2 linked regions of the Rattus norvegicus genome follow. The protein of the gene in region 2 purifies or fractionates together with the protein of the main gene of each other region. This does not show direct contact. Links are inferred from orthologs where the notes say so. Each region holds a gene or a part of one and is shown on either strand. Other genes may lie near its edges.

Evidence for each region. The genes of interacting proteins can lie anywhere in the genome.
Region 1: the proteins of Mbip (region 2) and Kat2b purify together in Homo sapiens (affinity purification with mass spectrometry; 4 studies listed by BioGRID and IntAct, counting the BioPlex papers as one, with this or other methods). This does not show direct contact. The link is inferred for Rattus norvegicus from reciprocal best matches to the Homo sapiens genes MBIP and KAT2B.

Annotation. Positions count from the first base shown.
Region 1 is NC_086027.1:6,879,057-6,882,709, reverse strand, and holds part of Kat2b (histone acetyltransferase KAT2B), read right to left. Parts: intron 3,309-3,653; coding exon 3,172-3,308; intron 1-3,171. UniProt on the Homo sapiens protein: Functions as a histone acetyltransferase (HAT) to promote transcriptional activation. Has significant histone acetyltransferase activity with core histones (H3 and H4), and also with nucleosome core particles.
Region 2 is NC_086024.1:79,553,909-79,557,561, reverse strand, and holds part of Mbip (MAP3K12-binding inhibitory protein 1), read left to right. Parts: intron 1-596; coding exon 597-716; intron 717-2,404; coding exon 2,405-2,623; intron 2,624-2,711; coding exon 2,712-2,808; intron 2,809-3,653. UniProt on the Homo sapiens protein: Inhibits the MAP3K12 activity to induce the activation of the JNK/SAPK pathway. Component of the ATAC complex, a complex with histone acetyltransferase activity on histones H3 and H4.

The DNA of each region.
Region 1 (3,653 bases), on a different chromosome or scaffold from region 2:
GACAATATTGTAGAGTGTTAGAAAGATGGCTCTGTGGTTAAGAATATGCACTGCTCTTCGAGAGGACCCGAGTGTGGGTCCTACAGAAAACACACTGGGAGCTCACAACTGCCTGTAACTCCAGGCCAGAGTATCTGACATCCTTTCCTGGCCTCTTTGGGCACCTGCATTTGCACATATACATAATCCCACACAGAGAGACACATATGCACATAATGTAAACAATAAAATAAAATATTTTAGCTATTTTTAATGACATGGTCTCTCTCAACAACTCAGCTGCTGTTGTAGCATACAAGCAGACATAGCCACACTAGTATAGAACACTTGGCATGATTTTCCAACTTTAAGGAGGGTAGAAGAGCTGGAGAAAAGGCTCAGCAGTTCACAATGCCTGCTGTCCTACAGGGACCCAAGCTTGTTTTCAAGCACCCATACTGGGAGGCTCACAAGTGCCTACAGCTCCAGCCAGCCAATGCCCCTTTCTGACTTCTGTGGGCAGCCACACATATATGGCATATACTCAGACATATGTCATAAGTAAACAAAAATACATGTAAAAATTCTGAATTGGGAGATCAGTGGCTTAGCAGGTAAGGGTGCATGACACGAAACCTGACAACCTAAGTTCAATGCCTGGACAAAGACCATCCCTTCATACTGGCCTCTCTAAGCTCCGTATTCACACCATGGCATGGTGTCTCCACAGGTGCATGAACACACATACACACAGGCACATTAAGTAAGTCGGTGTTCATTTTAAGGAGAGAACCAATACGATGGAGTATCAGGCGAAGGTGTTCACTGCACAAAACTGATGACTTCAGTTTGAGGCCCAGAATCCACAACTAAAGGAGAGAACTGACTACTGAAAGTTGTCCCCTAGCCTCTATACAAGAGTGACTCACTCACACAACATAATAACAACATAAAAGCAATGAAAATAAAAAATAATAATAATTAATTAAATATCATTAAGACAACAGGTTCTAAACTCTTGAAACGCACCATAAAACAGCAGTCATTTGGGGCTGGGGATTTAGCTCAGTGGTAGAGCGCTTGCCTAGCAAGCGTAAGGCCCTGGGTTCGGTCCCCAGCTCCGGAAAAAAAAAAAAGCAGTCATTTTTATATTCTCAGCACCTCTTTTTTGGAAGATACTTTTCTTTCTAGAAGTATCTATTGATCCAGACTTAACTCACAGCAGGCTGCATGGCCTAGAGCCAGCACCTCATGCTTTAATTCACCTTATGCTGGGCGAGGAAGTCTTTGGCAAACAGCTGTGCTGGGCAGAAAAGTCCTAACTATAGCACTATCTTTGAGGGCTTTGGCTGGTCGTCCAGGTTACTGGGTATCAACCACTGTGGTAGGCATTTCAAGCATCCAAGGCATTTAACAACTAGCTTACAAAAATGTCTACATCGTTAGTGGCTTTCTTGGGCATACTAGTACTCTACTAACTGCAACAAGGATTGTGAAATGGGTGACTGCCTCCCCACTTTCCTCTGAGCAGGCCATGCTCTGCTCATGTGTGAAGCTATGAAATCCCTAAAGCCTACACACAGGAGGAGGTCAGCATTTGCCCCCCACAGACTGGAAGGAAAGAACTTTATGAGATGGTTCTGTTGCAACAATCAATTCTCCAAATTATCCTTGGCACTAATAAAAGAGCCACGAAGACAGCGCAGTATGAAACTTACTAATTTAATCTATCAGAGCCACACCCAAAAGACAGACGCTGTGTATACACTAGTACTCAGGCTATGTCTTCATTTCCTGGAAATGTCTTAAGCCTCCCTGTTCCTGGATGTCTTGCAATGAGACAAGAGCAATACTTTTAACTAAGATATTTTACCTGGATTGATCTAAACTGTCACACAGATCCAGACAGAGACATTATGAATAACTCGCTAACGAGGCCCCTCAACAAAGGCAACATTGTAAGAGAAGAGGAAAGGCTTTGAGTTAAAGGAGACTAAGGAGCCTGGGATATGGCTCACAGGTCAGATGCTTGCTGGGATGTGGCAATCCCTGGATGTGATCCCCGGCACCTCATGAACCTAGCAGTGTGGTTCAAGGTCATTAATCCTGGCTATACAGTGAGTCCAAGATCAGCCTCGACCACATGAGACCAGCCAAAAAAAAAAAAAAAAAAAAAAAGAAGAAGAAGAAAGAAAGAAAGAAAAAGAAAGGGAGGGAAGAAAGGGAGGGAAGGAAGGACGGAAGGAAGGAAACAAAGAAACAAAGAAAGGACCAGAGAAAGAAGATAAAAAGATGAAGAAATGAAAACTGAATGCCATACTTGGTTCTTAACTGGGTCTCCAACAATAATGCATGTTATGAATAGCATGAATTGGTAAGATGGTCATTAGACACAGGGGTTGAAAATTAGGCCACAAGTCAGCAAACTTTCCAGTGAAGTCAAGAGATAAACATTTTGTTTTGCAAGACACACATGCCATAAGAGCTATTACAAGCCCAATCTGCTGGGACACACCTTTCCTCCCAGCCAGTTAGAAGCTGACACAGAATTACTTGAGCCCATAAGTTGAATAGCAGCTATGACTGGTAGGCTGCAGTCTGCCAACCCTAAGCCAGAGAACCTTATAATGAAGTTAAATTCCCTGAGTGCTAGCTCAGGTGATTATCTAAGAGAATTGCTTTAGTACAAGACACAAGCAAATGCACGAGGTATGAGGTATTATTACATCTGTTTGGAGCTGTGAAATGATTCTAAAGGGTTCACAGGAGAGGAGAAAGGAGGTAAAGAAAGGGAAATGGGAGGTGACCCCTGATAAATCTGCAGGCTCAACACACTCTGTGGGGTTTGGGTGTTTTTTTTGGGGGGGGGGGGGGGGCTTTTGTTTTTGGTTTTGATTCTTGGGTTTTTGTTGTAGTTGTTGTTGTTGTTTGGTTACTTTTTTTTTTTTTTCATTGCTGAGGGAGGCTTGAAATTCTCCAATGTGGAAAAGTTTCCAACTACTTGAAACTGTAGTTTGTGGCCCCATAACTGATATTCATCGAAGGGAACCACATCTTAGTTAGCCATTCCTGCCCTCCCTACAGTGATCGATCTCCAGGTTACAGGTGACCAGCAGTGTGTTCTCAGTACCCCACCCTCAGCTCTGACAGCTCTTACGGCAGGGCGACCAGAAGGCCCTCCCAGCTGCTGACCTCTGGTCCAAGCATCCCTGCAGGGTCTGTGATGGTAGACATAACTTCACTGATCAGTTCCACAGGAATATCCCCCATCACTCGAGATCGCTTGGCCTCCTCTGGAGCATGAGAGTTGTTCATTTTCCTCTTTTCTCCTGTGATGTTCAAAATAAAAGGCAAAAGAAAAAAAAAAGGATGGTTTGAAATGGAAAATACATACTGATGAATCTAACTTATTTGGGAGGAGACATGGAGTGAGACAAGGTCTTGCCATGTATCCCTGGCTATTCCAGGAGGAGAAAGGGTGGTAGTGAAGGTTGAGAAGGGAGACTGCCCATTCCAGGTCTATCTTAAAGATTGCCTATTTTCTAAGATGACTTTCAACTTGGCATATGAGTTATTAAAGCATGTTTCTTAACCTTAATTTTGTTATTGACTTTTATGTCATGGGCATTGGTGTTTTGCCTGCGTGCATGTATGTATGAGGGTGTCAGATCCTC
Region 2 (3,653 bases):
GGGAAAGTACTTGTTTTTTTAACCTCAATAATTTCATAACTGATAATTAGATTTTTATTTGTAATTACTGTCATCTATCCCTATGTGTGAATAATCTTTAGTTTTAAATTTTTAATTGGTTAAATTTGAAAACAATAAGAGTGATTGAGAAGACATCAGGGTAATGACTTATTTTAGGCATGTGTTTGTGTGATACGTAACAAAGAGAATACTTTCTGGAAGGCAGTAGTTGATCTCCGTCTGTTGAATGCCTAGGATTCTGATTAGGGCAGACCTATTTTTGGATACCTTCCAAAGGTATTTAAGATATCAAAGTATCAAAAGAGGCTATGGCTTCTCAAAGATGGCCCTATTATACAGACGTAGAAACCAAATTAAAATAATAAGACATGTTTTTATCTTTTTTATTTTCAAAGCTGTGCCTTTTAGCTTTTTAAAATAGCAACTACAGAAAGCATTTTATTATGTCATTGAAACTTAGTAACTTGAGCAAAATAGGCATGCATTACTCTATAGAAATCTTATTTTTGTGATAATCCCAGATATATAGCTTAATCGTGTAATTTTTGTGATGTTGCTACTTTGCCTCTTTGAAGCTTAACCTCAGAGATGATGTGGTGAAAATTACAATCGATTGGAACAGGCTCCAGAGCCTCTCAACATCCCAGCCTGCACTGCTCCTTACTGCACTTGAACAACACGTTTTGTATTTACAGGTAAATTTCATATTAGAATGTTTACTGGATATTCAAAATAGAAATTAACTGTAGTTTAATTAGCTGGAGTATTTTTCAGTTCTACCTCAACATTCTGTTAACAATAACTGTTATTAGTAAAAGGTTGCAGAAATCCATATTGAGTCTAGGTCTGTTAATTTCACTAGTGATTGGGATAGTTATGAGAATATAGCCCAACAGACCGATGTGGGTTTGAGAGTGAATAAATGCAATTCTATTCAATTCTGGGCTTTGCTGAAAATTCAATACAGTTCATCTATGGTGGGTTATAATTAAGCAATAAGACGCGGCAGGTGTGAGTCATGCTATGATAATGATTCCATGCCTTGGGTGAGTTGGGAGGCTCATGGAGTGCTTTCAGTGGTTCAAGAAGTGGCATTATCCCAGCATGACACATCCTGGAGTGTCTATTGCAATTAAACAGTTTCAGCGTAGTTTTTAAAAAGAAAGTAATTTCTGTGACATTAATGTTTCATCTTAGTGAGTAGCCAGTCACTATTTCATCTTAATAATTTGAAATAATTTATCCTTTATTGGAAGTCAATATTGAATTATTTATCATGGTATTGTTACACTTTTAATATTTCAGCTTGAGAAACGAACAGTATTATAGCCTTGCTGCTGTTGTTGAACATCTCTGCAAGTGTAATTGATGTGAGTTAGAGCTTTTCTCTCATCAGGACAAGCAGAACTGTTTTTCCTGGTCACTTTACTGTGTCGAAGATGTTAGAAGATTTCAAAAGAGTACTTGGCATAGCAAACAATAGAAACAAAATTGTATGAAAAGATGATCAGGATATTGTTTAGAAATAATGTGTTAATTTTCAGCCCTGAATTCATTGACTTTCTGGGAACATTTAACTGTGTTTCATGATAAAAATAACAGTTAACAATTTGTCTAAAGGGCAGGTGATGAGCTATAGAACTCAAATGTGGACCATGTCAGGGTGGGGATGACGAGGAACAGTGGAAGTGAATTTCTATTATGAAGACATATTTTCCTTAAACCTACTGTAGTTGGAGTGATTTGTTTCCAGCTCTTTCTTCCTTTCTTTCTTCCTTTCTTTCCTTCCTTCTTCACTTCATGTGCATTTGCTCTTGTGAAGTTTCATTTCCTGACCCAATAAGATCCTTGCTATGTCAGAGAAGGCTGAGTGTTCACTCAGGGTAACACCTGGTATACTTCATATCCGTGCCCTCATTCATCGTGGCCCACTGTACTTTGAAGTGGAGAATCTCAGCGATGCAGTGATAATGCAGGGCTTTGCTGAGTGAGCACTGCTCTCCTGCTAAGGACGGAGAACACTCAAGCTAGTGTTCTGAATGACATGTTAATTAAGAGGCATCCAGGCCAGAGACTGAGGCTTTGATTTAGCACAAAATAAAAGATGAATGACAGAATGATTTCCTCAAAGAAAAATTTAAATGTCCTCAGGTTTTCTTTCTTGTCTTCTTTTTAAAAAATAATGTACAGCAAGCGATAAGGGCTATACAGTAGTAGAAAATAGCAAACCTGTGTGTGGTCAGACCTGCGGCGTGTCCTGTGTGCCACCAGCTTTTCATATTTAATAACTGGTAATACTCATTTATGTAGCAGCAGCTTATACAAACCTATCACTAGTTGAGATGAGTTTGAACCTGAGCAGATGTCACTGTGTTCTTTTCAGCCTTTTTTAGCAAAACTTCAGTCTTTAATTAAAGAGAATTCAACAGCTGCAGAACTAAGACAAACAGAAGCAGAGACCAAGAGTGAACTAAGAGCCAAACTTCCCACTGGGGACCTACAAGATGAAGGAAAGCTCAAAGACGATGATTTAGGGGATGTGAAAAAGACACAAATCCATTTTGATCCAGAAGTAGTTCAAATAAAGGCTGGAAAAGCGGAAGTAAGTTTGGGCTGGTACAAGGATCAGGGTAATATTACTTTTAAAAGTTCTGTTATGTTTAGATTGTTAAATTATTTGTTGTTTATAGATTGACAGACGAATATCTGCATTTATTGAGAGAAAACAAGCTGAAATCAATGAAAACAACGTCAGGGAATTTTGCAATGTTATTGATTGTAATCAAGGTAACTAGAAGTTTTTTTAAATAGAATTTTAAACATTTTGACAACTGATGTAATATTTTGTTTTAAAAATGCATAACAAAAACAAGATTCAGTCTTACAGGTTTTTAGTTGGTAATTAAGGCAGTAGAATTTTCCTTTATTTAGTGACGGGCCCTGTTGCCAAGCTGATTTTCATTTTGGTTACACAAAACATCAAGTGAAGGCCGAACTCTAGAGACAGATATTTACCACAAGTCCGAGAAGATCAAAGTTTCTTTAGAGAATGAAGGTGAAATGTTGGATGACAGAGTTGTTTAGATTTGCTGTTAGGAGAAGACAAAGGATTATGAACTTGAGGTCTGTAAATGTACCTGTGAAATTATGTTAATTCAGTGAGCCTAGTAGCAGTAATAGCATTCCTCAGGAGGGAGCAGTTTTCTCTTTACTCCTGAGTTTCATGATGCACCCAGCTTGTCACGAAGACCTGTGGAGCCCTAGGCCTTTCCCTTTTTCACATCGCATACCTTTGCTGTTTCTCCTCAGTCTCCTTGTCCTCTTCACTTGATGCTACAGTGTTTCCAGGTCTGCAGTATACCTACAGAATACCATATACTGTGTAGATTGCCATAGATCATAATCAGTTATCCTTGTAAAAAATTATGGAGAAAGGTTTGTAATTGGGCTGAACGTCTTATTGCCATTAATATCTCTTAGTGATTATAAACATAAAATTGCCCATTGAACCTGGAAGTGACTCAGAATCACATTGATATGTGATGCTCTTAACATAATAATGTGGGCTCACTGCAGATGCTAAGTTAAACTCTTCTACTGTTAACTTGTGTGGATCTCTAGACTTAGCTCTT